Callithrix jacchus: one gene and its partners. The protein of the gene in region 2 interacts with the protein of the main gene of each other region in a pairwise test. Links are inferred from orthologs where the notes say so. Each region holds a gene or a part of one and is shown on either strand. Other genes may lie near its edges. The genes, in order: MBD1, SETDB1, UBE2I and TK1.

What was found.
Region 1: the proteins of SETDB1 (region 2) and MBD1 interact in binary tests that used the Homo sapiens proteins (3 or more experiments, as listed by UniProt). The link is inferred for Callithrix jacchus from reciprocal best matches to the Homo sapiens genes SETDB1 and MBD1.
Region 3: the proteins of SETDB1 (region 2) and UBE2I interact in a two-hybrid assay, tested with the Homo sapiens proteins (2 studies listed by BioGRID and IntAct). The link is inferred for Callithrix jacchus from reciprocal best matches to the Homo sapiens genes SETDB1 and UBE2I.
Region 4: the proteins of SETDB1 (region 2) and TK1 interact in a two-hybrid assay, tested with the Homo sapiens proteins (2 studies listed by BioGRID and IntAct). The link is inferred for Callithrix jacchus from reciprocal best matches to the Homo sapiens genes SETDB1 and TK1.

What each region holds. Positions count from the first base shown.
Region 1 is NC_133514.1:93,464,049-93,468,241, forward strand, and holds the start of MBD1 (methyl-CpG-binding domain protein 1), read right to left. Parts: upstream 2,846-4,193; 5' UTR 2,539-2,845; coding exon 2,486-2,538; intron 1,379-2,485; coding exon 1,244-1,378; intron 1-1,243. Other genes in the region: CXXC1 (CXXC-type zinc finger protein 1), read right to left, coding at 3,892-4,038, 4,154-4,193. UniProt on the Homo sapiens protein: Transcriptional repressor that binds CpG islands in promoters where the DNA is methylated at position 5 of cytosine within CpG dinucleotides. Binding is abolished by the presence of 7-mG that is produced by DNA damage by methylmethanesulfonate (MMS).
Region 2 is NC_133519.1:10,822,695-10,826,691, forward strand, and holds the start of SETDB1 (histone-lysine N-methyltransferase SETDB1), read left to right. Parts: upstream 1-1,188; 5' UTR 1,189-1,416; coding exon 1,417-1,447; intron 1,448-2,570; coding exon 2,571-2,841; intron 2,842-3,997. UniProt on the Homo sapiens protein: Histone methyltransferase that specifically trimethylates 'Lys-9' of histone H3. H3 'Lys-9' trimethylation represents a specific tag for epigenetic transcriptional repression by recruiting HP1 (CBX1, CBX3 and/or CBX5) proteins to methylated histones.
Region 3 is NC_133513.1:3,564,616-3,568,962, reverse strand, and holds the start of UBE2I (SUMO-conjugating enzyme UBC9), read right to left. Parts: upstream 2,858-4,347; 5' UTR 2,722-2,857; intron 2,392-2,721; exon of another isoform or gene 2,125-2,391; intron 1-2,124. UniProt on the Homo sapiens protein: Accepts the ubiquitin-like proteins SUMO1, SUMO2, SUMO3, SUMO4 and SUMO1P1/SUMO5 from the UBLE1A-UBLE1B E1 complex and catalyzes their covalent attachment to other proteins with the help of an E3 ligase such as RANBP2, CBX4 and ZNF451.
Region 4 is NC_133506.1:133,959,172-133,962,729, reverse strand, and holds part of TK1 (thymidine kinase, cytosolic), read left to right. Parts: intron 1-2,841; coding exon 2,842-2,931; intron 2,932-3,269; coding exon 3,270-3,389; intron 3,390-3,488; coding exon 3,489-3,558. UniProt on the Homo sapiens protein: Cell-cycle-regulated enzyme of importance in nucleotide metabolism. Catalyzes the first enzymatic step in the salvage pathway converting thymidine into thymidine monophosphate.

The DNA of each region.
Region 1 (4,193 bases), on a different chromosome or scaffold from region 2:
CCAGTTTTGGCATTGAAAACCACTATTCTACATAACCCTTTTCCTGTATAACACTTAACAGTATTTTTAAAATTCCGCAGAAGACTCCTAATTGGGAGAACCTGTACTGGATCCAAGTTTAACATTTTTCATGCCATGTCACCTTTTGAAATGTGCAAGTCAGCCAGCACTACCTGATATAACCTTAATATTTTCCTAACCCAGAGTAATGTTAGTTTGGCTTTCCTCAACAATGCTATCCACTACGAATTACTGATCATCATTTCATGAATCCACCAATGTAGCTGCTTTCTCATCTTTTCCACAGCTTCAAGACTATGAATGCTTTCTGTACTTTCTGAAGCAGCCTCATATGCATATTGGCAAATTTCCTTCTTTTTCTGGTTGTACCATATTTTTGATGCGTAACATTGAACTTGCAGCCGACAGCATTGTAACTCATGTATGAAAAAGGTTTATCTACCTTCTATTTTCTCCGTAAGAAACAACACAGCCTTCTCACACTCAGGACACTAAACAGCACCTCAGCACTATGCTTGGGACCATTTTAAAAAACAAAATCACCAACAAAAAGTACAAAAATTGGAAAAATGTGACACTAAACACACCATGAAAAGAACAGTTACTTGCTTACAGTATTAAAGCTAAAACATGTCCAGGCATGGTGGCTCATGCCTGTAATCCCAGCACTTTGAGAGGCAGAGGCAGGCAGATCACCAGAGGTCAGGAGTTCAAGACCAGCCTGACCAACATGGAGAAACCCCATCTCTACTAAAAATACAAAAAATTAGCCTGGCATGGTGGCGCGTGCCTGTAATCCTAGCTACTCAGGAGGCTGAGGCAGGAGCATCCGTAGAACCCAGGAGGCAGAGGTTGCAGTGAGCTGAGATAGTGCCATTGCACTCCAGCCTGTGCAACAAGAGCAAAACTCTGTCTCAAAAGTAATTTTAAAAACTGAAACAAAAAGAGCTCCTTCAGCCTCAGCTAGAAACACAGGCACTGAGTGACAGCTTTTCACTGCTCTGTGCATGTCCTTGAATAATCACAAATGCACTGTGAGTTGTGACTTTTAAATTACAAATAAATTTTAAGTAGATAAAATTGCAAACATAAAATTTGCTAATAATAGCAATGAACTGTATATGCATAATTTAAACTCCATCCATAAATTAAACCACCCTATTTGATTTTACCCTAATCAGGTTTTACCCTACCCCAACTCTGTCCACAACCCACCCAGTACCTCTGGTAATAGGTGTCTGAGCGTCCGCAGGTAGCCCCTGACTTGCGAAAGACTTCACGGCGCTTCCAGCCAGGGCCCAGGGCTGGGCAATCCAGCCAGTCCTCAGCCATGGAGGCCACAGGAAGCTGCAGTAGCCTGAAAGGGGGTGGAGAGGATGAGGGAAACTGAGGCTCTAGTAAGGGACAAAACTGTGCCTCAGGCCACACAAATCACTGGTATCCATTAGTGCTTGCCCAAGACCTAGGATCTGCCATCCCATTCTTTCCTATTCTGGGCCTAAAAGATCCTCATTCCTCAACCCAAGGGTCCCCATTTCTTATTCTCAGTGTCCTATTCCCTACTCCTCTCTATCCTTGGACTGACATCCCATCATTTCTCCTCACTGCCAGTCCACAAACTTTTCATCCTTTTCCCTCATTCCTCCCTGTCATTGACCTAAGGTCCTCTATCCCTCTATTTTATCACCCCAAGACCCCCATACTCCCCATCCTCAAGCCCCAAAAGGCCCCATTTCTCTTGCTCTCACTACTTGACTTCTTCATTCCCCCTTCCTTGACCCAGGAGTTCCTAATTTCCCTCCTTCAGTGTTTTAACCATTCCATTCCTTCCTTGTCTGATGTCTTCTTATCCTGCTATCTCAGTGTTACAACCTCGACTTCCTCTGCGAGAGACACAACTGCTTCAACCCATGGCCTGAACAGCCCCTCATCTTTTCCATTCCTCACACTGGAAGCCTCCTATGCCTCCCCTTCCTCAGCCCAAGAGCTCCCCACTTATTTTTCTTTTCCTTCGATGTTCTGACCCACAATTTCTCCCCAGTGTCAGCCCTCAAACCTTCCTGTTTCTCTCCTCTACAGCCAAAAAGTTCCCCTCTTTTCCCCTTCACTGTTCTCATCCTCCGTTCCTCTCATCATCATCTTGAGAGACCCTAATTTCTCCCCTCAGCATTCCGAACCCTCCCCCATTCTCTGTTCTTGTCCCAGGATCATGCCATCCCTAACTGTCAGTGTTCTGATCTCCTACTGCTCCTCATCCTCTATATGGGGCCCCCATCCCTCCCTTTCAGCATTCCAACGTCTCCATTTCTCCTGTCATCAGCCTGAGGGCCCCTCATTTCTCCCTCAGAGTTCTGAACCCCTATCTCTCTCTCTCTCTCAACTTCAGATGCCCTGATGTCTCCCTTCAGCATTCTGAACTCCACCATTCCACCCTGTCCTCACCCCAGGATCTCGACACTCCTACCTGTCAGAGTTCTGAGCTCCATTCCTTCCCGTCCTCAGCCTAAATCCCCCCATTTCTCCTCGTCAGTATTCCGACGCCGCCATTCCTCTCCCTCACCGGCCTGAGGGCCCTCCATTCCACCCCGTCAGCGTTCTGAGCCTCAATTCCTTCCCATCCTCCGCCTGAGCGCTCTCCACGTCCAGCCCCAAGGCTGTCTCACCAGTCTGGCACCAGACCGGTATCTTCCGCAGCTCTAGGCCCGTGGACCCAAGGCGAGGGTCCCTCCTGCACCTTCCGCCTCGCCCTCCTCCCCTTCTTCCTCCTCGGCGGCCGCCTCCTCTGAAGCGGTAGCTGTTGCCTCCGCGGCTGTTCGTTGCTCCCGGAACCGGAAGTCCGCGGCCTGCCTCTCTCGGGCTCCTCCTCTAGAGACGCACCTGCGCGCTAATGCTTCGACGGCGCGTGCCCTTAATAGGGAGGCTCCTGCGCCTGCGGGCTAGCACGCAACTGTGCGCGCGCCCCTGCCAGGAACGAGTTGCATCTACGTGATGACGTTTAATAGCCGCTCGCGCCCCATCGAGGGATCAGCAGCCGCGGAGCCCCTCGCTGCCTCTCTGGCGTGCGCATGCGCTCTCCAGTCTAAGCTGAGGGGAAGTGGTTGGGGAGGGCTTGCGCTTGCGCCCTCCGTTTCCTCCCGCGGTCTCCAAAGCGGATGCGGACGGCGGCGAGAAAGATGGTTCAGGCCTGCGCACTCCTTGGCCCAGCCGGCACTCTACTCTCCCACCTCTCGCTGGTGTCGAGCCTGTGCCTCCAGGTCTCTCCGAACATCAACCCCAGGGCTGTCGTGTCCTGCTCCCTCCTCCCCGCTGAACCGCCGCGGGGCAAGCGGGCCGGGGAAGGGGGCGGTGCAGCTGCACCGCAGGTAAACTGAGGCACGCTGGAGGGCGCGCCCCTGCGGATCGTCAAGGTGGGGCTTAAACGGGGCCTGGCGTCCACGGCGGACGACAGCTCTGCGTGGGAGAGAGGAGCACGAGCGGGCAGTGTCACCACACTGAATGCGCGCTACGTAGACCTATGCCCGTGGGAGGCTGGGAATGTGGGTCCCTGGGCTCTTCCGGGGTGCAGGAGCCCCCATCTTACCTAGGAGTTGGGAATAGTTGCAACCGCAGCAATGTGGAGGCAGCTTCCTTAGTTTCTTCAAAATTTTATTAACAAAACCCAGGGAGGGGAAGGATGAGTGGACTCTGCAGCCCCACCAGGCACTGAACATGGAGACAGGGAAAAACCCTTTGACAAAGGCAGACGGGCGGTCAACCGGTGGATGGGCACAGGTTGAACCAGAGAAACTGATGAATGGAGGAACGGACACACGGGCACTGGGCGGCTCCCCCATCTGGAATGCAGGATGTGAGGGGTCCAGGCCAGGAGGCTCAGCGGTCGGCACTGGAGCGCAAGTCGGTAGTGAGGGGGTCGTGCTGGATCGTCTGGTGCAACATCAGGGCCAGCAATCCCGCGCGGTTTGTCATGGCTGTGCGCACATTGCGCTCCTGCTCAAATAGCTCATCCAGCTTGTACCACTGCCAAGGGAGCAGCAGGAGTCCTGAGCAGGCACTCTTGAAGCCCCGATTGCCCTCGGCCACGTCCGGGATGGACACCTACCATGTGCAGCACTGAAACCACATGGAAACCTACCACACGCACACGCTCCAAGTCCACTTCCGCACGTCGCAGC
Region 2 (3,997 bases):
AAGTGATACTATTTTACTTAAATTCCATTTTGGAAAATCCTTCCTTTTTGTTTTGTTTTTGAGACGGAGTCTCGCTCGATCACCCAGGCTGGAGTGAAGTGGCAGGTTCTCCTCTTACTGCAGCCTCTGCTCCCGAGGCTCAGGCGATCCTTCCACCTCAGCTTTGGAATTGCTGGGAAGACAGGTGCGAACTACCACACCTGGCTGTTTTTTTCCCTTGTATTTTGAGTGGAGATGGGGTTTCACCGTGTTGCCCAGCCTGGTCTAGAACTCCTGAGCTCAAGCGATCCTCCCGCCTCAGCCTCCCAAAGTGCTGGGATTACAGGCATAAGCCACGGCGCCCGGCCTGGGGAATCTTTTCTCCAGAAATAAAAGTCCTACCTCAAAAGGATTTTTATTTTTATTGTTGCGCTATTTGTAGGGGCTGAGAACGGAAAACAATCTAAACGAATATGGTTAACCATACTATTGAAATGTTAAAAGTACAAGTTTTACCTTTTTTATTGGCGTCAGGTAATGTCTACATACTAAACGAAGACAAACAAACAAAAAAATCTACACACAGAAACTAGAAAATTAAGCTGTGTTACCTGAAAGGAGTGGAGTGGTAAGTGATGGGGCCAGAGAGAACATTATCACGTTTTTCTTACTACATCTTGATAGCTTTTACAATTTGTATCACTTACATAACAAAATAAACTCAAGGAAAACTGAGAGAAAAAAGCTCTAAACCAATGAGTGTTACCCCAAGTCTTTACGCAATGAACGCAGTAATGTGGCCACCAGTCAAGGGTGGTAGGAGAGGCGGAGCCTCGGCAACATACTTTTGGCCACGCCCACTTTGCTCTGCCAGTAGCTTCTCACGTGTGTTTAACGCATGCGTAGTTACCTTAGTGTGCATTGCCTCAGAGGGGCGCCCCGCGGTTTTGGGTTTGGCCCCGTCAGGCTACCGTCGCGGTGACCGGAACGGCATTAGAGGTTTGCTTCCGGGCGTCTCTTTTGCTTCCCCTTCCCTCCATCACGCTTTCTCCCCTCCCCCTCCTCTCGTATCCCTTCGCTTTCGCTCTTTTCCGTCGAGGCAGACCCCCGAGTCGTGAGTCTGGGGTCTGGTTGGTGAAAAAGAGCCCTTACAACTGGAAGCAGGGAGGTGTGGGGAATACTGTTAATTGATTTATTTGGTGACCAAAGGCTTATCTGGGATGTTTTGTCTGTGGGAGGAGGTCGGGCGAGGGTGGGAAGGAAGTCGTCTCTTGAGGCGAGCGGGGGCGGGGCTGAACTGGGTTTGCGGATGGATGAGGCGCACCCCTAGCATTCTAGGGGTAGCACTGGGGTGGGCCGGTGTGTGGGCAAAGGAAAATGGAGGCGCTGAAAATCAGATTTGCCTTAACAGTTTGATTAAACAAGCATTTCACACAAATGTGTGAAGCATTTGGATTGTGGATATTAGGTAGCCACATTTTATTCCCAGGTTGCTTTACTTCTCTGGAGAAACCTTTTTGCTGCAAGCTTTTGTGTGCTTGAATACCATAGACTTTTTAAAAAGTTAATTTCCACATGAAAGCAAAGTAATGTAAGGGGAACAACTAATGAAAGAGAAAATAGGCCAGGCGTGGTGGCTCACGCCCGTAATTCCAGCACTTTGGGAGGCCAAAGTGGGCGGATGACCTAGATTGGGAGTTCGAGACCAGCCTGACCAAATTGGAGAAACCCCGTCTCTACTAAAAATACAAAAAATTAGCTGGGCGTAGTGGCACATGCCTGTAATTCCAGCTACTCGGGAGGCAGAGGCAGGAGAATAGCTTGAATTCGGGAAGTGGAGGTTGCGATGAGCCAACATTGCCCCATCGCACTCCAGCCTGGGTAACAAGAGCAAAACTCCGTCTCAAAAAAAGAAAATATTGAATTAGTGAGTTACAGATCAACTCCGTCCCCAGATGGGGGGTTTTGTTCAAATTAGGCATAACATGGCAAAGATTTATCACATTAGTTAAGGAACACATATAGACCACAAAAATACCACCTTCTATATTGGTTCTCTTCAGTTTTCTAAAAAATTATTTTTGAAGTTTTGTTTTGAGACAGGGTCACCCAGGCTGGAATGCATGGCACAAACAGCTCACTATAGCAGCCTCTCCTGGGCTCACGTGGTCCTCCCACCTCAGTAGCTGGGCCTAATGGCATATGCCACCACACCTGGCTAATTTTTGTATTTTTTTTGTAAAGATGGGTCTCGCCATGTTGCCCAGGCAGGTCTTGAATTCCTGCCCTCAGGTGACCCTCTGCTGAGATTACAGGCACAAGTCACTGTGCTGGCCCAAAACATTATTTTCAGTAGCTCCCTACTGCATAATGAATGTTTTCCATGCCCTCTCAAACTTTAAATGTTATTCAGGCCTGCTACTGTATAGCAGAAGAAATCTCAGCATCAGATTCTGGGGAATGAAGAGGGAGAACATGGACCATTTGAATAAATAACAGGCAGCAGGGTAGAAATGCTTTATTAGGGAATCAGTTCTCTATTGATTGTGGTTATAAGGACTCCAGTTTAATTTGTTTTCTGTTCCATGCAGAGGACAAAAGCATGTCTTCCCTTCCTGGGCGCATTGGTTTGGATGCAGCAACAGCTACAGTGGAGTCTGAAGAGATCAAAGAGCTGCAACAGGCAGTGGTTGAGGAACTGGGTATCTCTATGGAAGAACTTCGGCATTTCATCGATGAGGAACTGGAGAAGATGGATTGTGTACAGCAGCGCAAGAAACAGCTAGCAGAGTTAGAGACATGGGTGATACAGAAAGAATCTGAGGTGGCTCATGTTGACCAGCTCTTTGATGATGCATCTAGGTGAGAACTACATAGACAACAGAGGGAAATCTCTCCATTGGGAGATATCTTTAGGGCATAATTGTTCATGACATTATACTAAGCATTTATTTTAATTTTTTAATTTAATTTTTTTTTTTTTTGAGACAGAGTCTCACTCTGTCACCCAGGCTAGAGTGCAGTGGAGTGATCCCAGCTCACTGCAACCTCCATCTTTCAGGTTCAAATGATTCTCCTGCCTCAGCCTCCAGGCACCTACCACAATGCCTGGCTAATTTTTTGTATTTTTAGTAAAGACAGGATTTTACCATGTTGACCAGGCTGTGTACCAAGAATTTTATACTTTATGAAGTACAGATGTTTAGAACTTTACTCTTCCTCAAAGTTTATGGTCAAAAATCTGACCTCACAATCAGCCATTTATAGAACTTTTATCTGTCAGCAGCTGATACATGATCAGCAGTAAGGGAGTCCAAGTCTTAAGTCCCTTCCCCTTCTTCCTCCTGTGTTCTATCTTAGAAACAATTGCTTGTTCAGGGAGTGAGGTTTATAAAGAATTTCTGTCTTATGTAACTTTGAAGCATTATTAAGTTCCTATACTCCTAAAAGTTATTTTTGGTGATCTAGTTGTCATTTAGAATACCTTTTTTGTTTTTGAGACGGAATCTCGCTCTGTCTCGCCCAGGCTGGAGTGCAGTGGCATGTTCTTGGCTCACTGCAGCCTCTGCCTCCCAGTTTCAAGCAGTTCTCCTGTCTCAGCCTACTGAGTAGCTGGGACTACACGTGTGTCCCACCACACCCAGCTAATTTTTGTATTTTTTGTAGAGATAGGGTTTCACCATGTTGGCCAGACTGGTCTTGAACTCCTGACCTCAGGTGATCCGCCCACCTCGGCCTCCCAAAGTCCTGGGCTTACAGGCTCGAGCCACTGCACTTGACCTATATTTTTTATTTTATTTGTTTTTTTGAGTTGGAGTCTCACTCTGTCACCAGGCTGGAGTGTGGTGGTGCAGTCTCCTCTGCCTTCCAGGTTCAAGCGATTCCCCTGCCTCAGCCTCCCAAAGAGCTGGGACTGCAGGTATACACCACCTGGCTAATTTTTTTTTTTTTGTATTTTAGTAGACACTGTTTCACTGAGTTGGCCAGGATGGTCTCAATCTCCTGACCTCATGATCCG
Region 3 (4,347 bases), on a different chromosome or scaffold from region 2:
AGCAGAGTAGAGGTGTGGGGGCTGGGATCTAAGAAGCCCAGGCAGGTCCAGCGTCACCAGGGCACCAGGGTTCCGGAAGCCGGGCAGGGTTGCTAGAGCCGCGTGCCCTGCAGGGGGATTTGGTTCATTTTCACCAAACACGGGTTCTCATGGTAGTCCGAGAAAAAGCAGGCAGAGGAACCTGGGTCCTCCAGTCAGCAGGCGCTGGTGGCACTGGGAGAGAGTGACAGGGGCCACTGGGCCCTGGCCTCCAGCTCCACGACTAAGTCCAAGACAGGCAGCCGGGGCTGGAGGCAGCCACGGACTGGGCCCCACTGGGATGTCCTTCCCCACATCTTCCTCACTGAGACGCAGAGGGTCCACAGGCCACCTGCCCTCCTGACCGCTTGCCCTTCCCCACACCCTCCTCTAAGTCGGGAGAAAGTGGGGGAGGACACAGCTGGGCCGAGCTGGGGGCAGGCAGGGTATGGGTCCCAAGCAGGCTGGAGTGCTCGCCAACCACGGTTTCAAGGTTCTCTCTGCACTGGCTGGGGTCTGAAACTCCACACCCCAGCCGGTGTGGAGTTTTCTCCACCTTCCCCTTCCATTGGCTCTTCCACATGGAGTAGCCCAGCACCACCTTGGTACCGGCGGCCTGAGAACTCAGGGGCTCTTGCTTCCCCAGCCCCAGGGAGGAGTCTCTGAGTGGCTGCAACCTGTGCCCTGTGCAGTGCATAGCAGCCTGGCGAGTGGCTGTTTCACGAAGGCGCCAGCTCCCAGGTGCCCATGGTCTGAGCGGGGCCAGGCATCAGACGGGCCTCTGAAGCCCCAGACCAGCGCTCCAGTCACTGAAGGACCATGGGCACCGATGCTCACAGCCAGGCAAGACCAGGCCATGGAGAGGCCAGCAGGCCTGGGACTCTGCCACAGGTGGCCTTCCTGCTGAGGACTGGACAGGGCCGCCCAGAGGCCGTGCTCAGCCCCCAGCTATTGTTGCCTCAGGTGTGAGAAGTCATGAGGGTGGTCCTGCCAAACCTCCTGCCAAGACCGGGCTGCTGCCGCTGTGCCGCCAGCCCCAAAGCACTCAGCACCAGGCGGGGGTCGTACAGGACACTCTACCATCAGGGCAGGGAGCCACAGGTGCACACCCACCCATCCTAGGCAGAAGCCAGGCCTGGCCTCCAAGATCCCTGCTCCCCCTCCTGCTGGCCTGCCCACTGGAGAAAGTGGCCCATCTGTTACAATGTAATCACAACACAGACCCAGCATTCAAAAATCCCACTGAAAACTGAATCCATCCTCCCCAACTAACAGATAGGCACTTAGTGAACAGCTAGGAGTCACTAAGGGCTTCAAAACAGGAAACTTTTACGCTACAAACACAAAAACAACTCTTCTGTCAGCGCCAGGCAAGGCCCAGACACCGGCAGCAACGGGACCTCTGGGCCGGGCACTCCAGGAGCTGCCCGAAAGTCTGCCGCCTGCCCTCCCACAGGGCACACGCAGAGGGCTGAGCTTGAGCATGTCCGATCACCACCTGGCTCTGCTGGCCGACTGCACCCACTTCAGAGCAACTTCCTGGCTGAGGGTGAGCAAAGCGCCCATCTCCCACAGTGCCGCCCACAGCTCCGCAGCCCTCATCACCAGAACAGGTGGGCGCCCCGACAGGCTCGCACCTGAAGCCCTCAAAGGTCCTCCTGCACCCAAATGCACACTCTCCCAGGCCCGGGAGGATGTTCCCTTCTGCACGACCCGGGCACCTGCAGTCGGGACACGCTCACCTGGCCGCACCTGACCTGTCTGTCCCAGGCCCCCGGGCTGTTTCCGCAGCGAGATCCCAAACCCCGGGACACCTGCAGCCACCCAACAGCCTAGGGAAGGGACCTCTTTGTGAGCCCCCAGGGCAAACTGAGGGTCCTTCCTGTGTTCTCTCCGCTAGGTTCTCTACCCAAAGGCAACGTTTCTTTAAAGAGCAAGAAACGGGTGGGGTGAGTCCTAGGGAGAAAACCGACGAAATCCCCCAAGACTCCGCGGACAGAGGAACTAAACGTGACTCCCGACTCCACACCCCGAACCACTTCGTCCTGCGCTTCGCGCCTGACCGCAGGCCACGACCACAAGCCCAGCGCGTCACCCCGCACCTGCCTCCTACGGCCCCAACTTCCAGAGCCAACCACGATTCAACCGGTACAAAGCGGCCCGAGACCGGACCAAACTCCCACCAGCGGCGCCGGCGGGGCGTCTTCAGCGGCGCGAGAGAACTTGGACGCGTTTCGGTTTGAAGGCCCCGAAGAGCCGCCCGCCCGCCCGCCGGCCCCCACCCGCGCGAGTCAGCGCTGTTGCAATCCGCGGCTCTCCCCCCGGAGGCCCATCCTCGTCGTCCGCGGGCGACCGTGACCCCGGAAGCCGCTCGCCGCGGAGGAGGAAGGCGCGGCCTCGCGGGGCCCCGGCTGCAGGTGGCTGCCCCGGCCCCGCGCCAGGCGCACCTCGAGGGCGAAGTGGGGGAGCCCCGGCCCCGAGGGCCTACGGCGAACCGGGCGCTCGGGCTACAGCCCCGCGACGCCAGCACCGCGGGCCGGGCCGGCGTCGAGCGCGGGGCCTCTCTGGGAAGCTCGGCCGCGACGCGGGGCCCGGGCTCGGCGGGGCGGGGCGCGGGGCAGCCGGGGGCCCGGGCCCGACAGCGCTGGAGGCCTTAGCCCGCCCCCGCCCCGCGGCCCCGGCCCGGCCCCCGCCCGCGCTCACCTCGGGCGGCCGCGGCCCCGGCGAGCGTCGCGGACAGGCGGAGGACCGAGCGGGGCGGCGGCGGCGGCGCTTCCCTTTGTCTCGGGACTTCCCTCCGGAGCCCGCTCCGCGCGCAGCCCGAGCAGCTCCGAGGACCCTGGGGCGGGCGGGGCGCGCGAGGCGGGGCCTGGCGCGGGGCTGCCCTCCGCAAGCCTGCCTCGCGCGCCGCCGCCGCCGTCCCGCCCCGAGTGCTGCCCGCGCCACCACCCGCCCCCCGCCGCCCGGGCCCCGCCACCGCGCGCCCGCGACCCGGGTCCGCCCCAGGAGCCCGGTCGGGGGGCGACTTTCCAGTCAGGCGGCGCCCTGGACACCTACACCCTTAAAGGAGCCGCGTCCCCGATGTGAGGGAGCGTCTGCAAACTCCCCTTCGGGGCGCCCGCGTCCATCCGAGGACGCGCCGGCGAGCAGCGGGGGCAAAAGGAGGCCGAGAACTCCAAAAGCTCCCTGGATACCCGGAAGTCACCTCTCCAGGCACACGTCCCGGAGGTTTCCTTGGGGTCAGGGCCTGGGGTCTGGGGGCAAAGACCACTGAGGCCTAAGGATACCCTGAAGCGTCGCAGGACGGTGACGCTCCCGCTAGTTTAGCGCCCTGTGAAACCTCTTGCAATTGGCCAGTTCGGGGCGGCGGGCGGGGAAATCTTCTCATCCGCCCAATGAGCTGACCCGGTACAAAAGGCCGAATGCGCGCATGACCGACGGGAGGAGAAGTGAGGATGTTCCCTAACCTGGGGGCGGACCCTGGGCGGGGGCGGGGCGCGGGGCCTGCGAGCGGCGGGGGCGGGGCGGGCCCGTGGGGGAGGGGCGCTTCCCGGCCCCACCCCCACTCCCATCCCCGCGCCAACCGCGGGGACCGGGTCGGGAGGCCCCCAGCCCCGCGAGCGCGCTGGACGCTCCGCCAACGCGCGGCTGTGCTGGCCCCGGGCTCTCCTGGCCCGCCCACCCCCATTTCGCCGACGGCGGGGTCGCTGCCAAGGTCACTGTGTCCGGGCGCTTGGGGACCACGGGGAATGACCGCATTCTTTCATTCCCTCCCTCACTGACTCATTCATTCATTCATTCATTCCTTTACTCGCTCACTCATTCCTTCACTTCCTCAATCATTTCCTCCCTCATTCATTCTCTCCCTCATTCACTCATTCCCACCCTCACTCATTCCCTCCCTCACTCATTCCCTGCCTCACCCATTCCCTCCCTCACTCATTCCCTCCCTCACTCATTCCCTCCCTCACTCATTCCCTCCCTCACTCATTTCCTCCCTCACTCATTTCCTCTCTCCCTCATTCGTTCCCTCACTCATTCCCTCCATCTCTCACTCTTTCCCTCCCTCACTCATTCTCTCATTCATTCATTCCCTCACTCATTCCCACCCTCACTCACTCATTCCCTCCATCCCTCACCCATTCATTTCCTCCCTCCCTCATTCATTCCCTCACTCATTCCCACCCTCATTCCCTCCATCCCTCACTCATTCCCTCCATCCCTCACTCTTTCCCTCCCTCACTCATTCTCTCATTCATTCATTCCCTCACTCATTCCCACCCTTACTCATTCCCTCCATCCCTCACTCACTCATTTCCTCCCTCCCTC
Region 4 (3,558 bases), on a different chromosome or scaffold from region 2:
TTAGCTTTGGCGAGGCTCTCCCTGCCTTCAGACCTGCCACTGTGAGTTGCTCAAGAGCTCTGCTCTGGCTCTGCATAAACCTTGTTGACAGATGCTGACCCAGACCCCCCCCAGGCAGAAACCTTTCCCTTCTCCTTCCTCCTTCCGTAACATCCAGGAGCCAGCATATTAAGTCCTGTCCCGTTCCAGCCTGAAGGAGAGATTTCTCAGTCTACTTCCTCCCTGGCCCACAAGTAAAACTTTAGTTCATTCAGGGAGTGCTTATTACACCCCATATCCAGACATCAGCCTTGTGCCATTCTGTGTGCCCTTGTTCCTTTCTAGAAGTTTAGCATCTTCCCACTGCAAGCATTTCTAGATGGAGGAGAGGGGTTCCTAGTATGGGGACCCACAGAAGGACTGTCCTTCCCTCCTTCATTGTCTACGTGGACAGTGGAAGAAGCCCAGCCTGACCTGCCTTGTTCCTGTTTTCTGGGTCAGCAGGGAAAGCCTTTCATAGAGTAGCCACCATGCCATCCTGAGGAAGGCCCTAGGTCAGAAGCTTCTGTGCTTCTTTGTATGCCGGGTGAGGCACAGTGGCGCTCACACTGCTTTGTAGAAATTGTTGGCATGCAAGAGAGAGTCATGTGGAGACCCCAAAGCCACTAGCTGGGCGTGCTGTGCTTCAGATGCTGGTGGTGGGTGAGCACCCTGGCCCCAGCACCTCCCCGATGCGTTCATCAACAGCTGTACAGTGTCTGGCGGGCCTGCAGGGTTGCTTGGCAATAGTGGAAGCTCTGATTTTTTTAAACTTTTTTTTCTGGCTGGGCACAGTGGCTCACACCTATAATCCTAGCGTTTTCGAAGGCCAAGGCGGGCGGATCACTTGAGGTCAGGAGTTTGAGACCGGCCAGGCCAACATAGTAAAATCCCGTCTCTACTGAAAATACAAAAATTAGCCGGATGTGGTGGCACACACCTATTATTCCAGCTACTTTGGAGGCTGAGGCAAAATCATCACTTGAACCCGGGAGGCAGAGGTTGTGGTGAGCCAAGATCATGCCACTGCACTCCAGCCTGGGTGACAGAGTGACTCTGTCTCAAAAACAAACAAACAAAAAAAACCAAAAAACGGTTTTTTGTGTTTTCTGTTCTACTAACACAAGTAATACAGGTTGAATGTTCCTTATCGTAAATGCCTGGGACCAGAAGTGTTTGGATTTCTGATTTTTTCAGATTTTGGAATATTTGCATATATATAATATAATGAGACCTTGGGAATGAGTCCCAACTGTAAATACAAGATCCGATATGTTTATAGATGCCTTATCCACATAGCCTGGGAGTGATTTTATATGCTATCTGGTAATTTGGGCATGAGCCAGGGTTTTGACTGTGAGCTGTCCCATAAGGTCAGGTGTGAAATTTTCCACTTGTGGTATGCACTCAAAAAGTTTCAGGTTTTGGAGCCTTTTGGATTAGAGACTTCGTAAGTTTAATCTGGAAAAACTTAAGAGTCTGGCACAGTGGCTCATGCCTGTTATGCCAGCACTCTGGGAGGCCGAGGCACGCAAATTGCTTGAGACTAGGAGTTTGAGACCAGCCTGGGCAATATGGTGAAACCCTGCCTCTACCAAAAATACAAAAATTAGCCAGGAGTAGTGGCACATACCTGTAGTCCCAGCTAGTTGGGAGGCTGAGGTGGGAGCATCGGCTGAGCCTGTAGGTCCAGGCTGTGAGTCATGGTTGAGCCACTGCCCTCCAGCCTGGGCAATGGGGAGCAAGACTGGGAGCTGCCTTTTTGTGACATGTGATGAATCCTCAGAGAAAAAGAGAGAACACGTGCATGGTGGGGCAGGGCCCAGCGTGCTGGAGTCTCTGGGTTTTCTTTCTAGAGGCCCCTGCAGTCTGCTGAGCGCAGTCGGTTACATCAGGCTTCACCTGGATCCCACTGGAATTTTTCCAGTTATCCCCTAGTCCTCGCCTTGCTAAGCCCTAATGTCTTAATAACCTCAAACCTCAGTACCTGGGCTGAGGAAAGCCTGAGGGGCTCCTGGAGAGAGACCTGTGCCCAAGGACAGGAACATCCCCACTTCAGCCAACCCAAAGGCCAGTCTGGACATGTGAACTCAACCAGCTAAAAGCAATATGACTGATTGATGAGAATCACCAAAGCACTTGCTAGAGTTTCAGCTTCTCCCTGGGCCAAAGTGAAATTTGATGTAGGCAGTAAATGTGCTCTGTGCCGGCCCTGTATTTAGAAGGCTGTGCTGTGTCATCCTGCTCTGTAAATGGCCAGGAGGACCCCCACACCTTCTCAAGGCACATTACCTGTCTAAAAAGGCGAGGGGGCAAGAGCACAAAATGCCCAGCTACTCACTGAAGTGCATGTGTATAACTTAGTGCCTTCTGTCCTTACACAATAGGACCTTTCTTGCTATCGCTCAGTGAAGAGGAAACAGGTTCAGAGAAGTTAACTCACTGCCAAGGTCACACAGATAATGGTGTCCGCTCGGAATAGCGGTGTCCGAGCCCCAGGCAGCAGATGTCTGGCCCCAGCCTTTGGCCGCTGCAGTGTTAAACAGCACAGCAGGTGTGGAAGTCTGATGCTGAGTCCTGGGTACCTGGACTCGGAGCAGAAGCTGGCTGCAGAGGGAAGAGGCTGGGCAGTTGTGGATGTGCCTGTCATCTGCTGGGAGGGCACCCATGGACAGTCCCCAGCCTGAGGAACCTCATGGAAGAGTTAGAGTTGCTCCAGGCTGAATGGCGGGAGTTGTCTGATCTGGCAGCGTCTCTGCTGGGACTTCAGGGAGCTGCTGCTAGGGTGGAAACTCTCACGCTTTCTCCACCTTCCCTTTCCAGTTCCCTGACATCGTGGAGTTCTGTGAGGCCATGGCCAACGCCGGGAAGACAGTAATTGTGGCTGCACTGGACGGGACCTTCCAGAGGAAGGTAAGGTGTCTGATCCAGGTCTGGAGCGTGATTCCAGGAGGGGAGGGGGCTTCTGGGTGGCCAGGGCCCAGCCACTGTAGGGGCACAGTTGAGCTGCTCAGACCAGTCCTTGCCTGAGCCTAGGGACTCCCTGGTCTATGCAGACCAGGTGCCATCTGTTGCGGCAGGTGGTTTGAATTGGCAAGGAGACAAAGCCAGGCATGGTGCTCTGGGGGTTGGGGGAGGACTGAGGTCAGAGCAAACTTTCCTGGCTTCAGTGCTTATGAATCAAAGGGTTTAAAAGAAAACCCCGCCTGGGAAGGTAGCCGAGCACCCACTGTCTTTCCATGGGAGTGCAGGCATTTGGGACCATCCTGAACCTGGTGCCGCTGGCCGAGAGCGTGGTGAAGCTGACCGCAGTATGCATGGAGTGCTTCCGGGAAGCCGCCTACACCAAGAGGCTTGGCACCGAAAAGGAGGTACCTCCACCTGTCTTCCCTGCGGGCTGGTGGGGTGGGGGCGTGGCTCTGTCTCCTTCCTGTCCCGGCCCTTCACCCATCCCCTGTCCCTGCGGCTAGGTCGAAGTGATTGGAGGAGCAGACAAGTATCACTCTGTGTGTCGCCTCTGCTACTTCAAGAAGGCCTCAG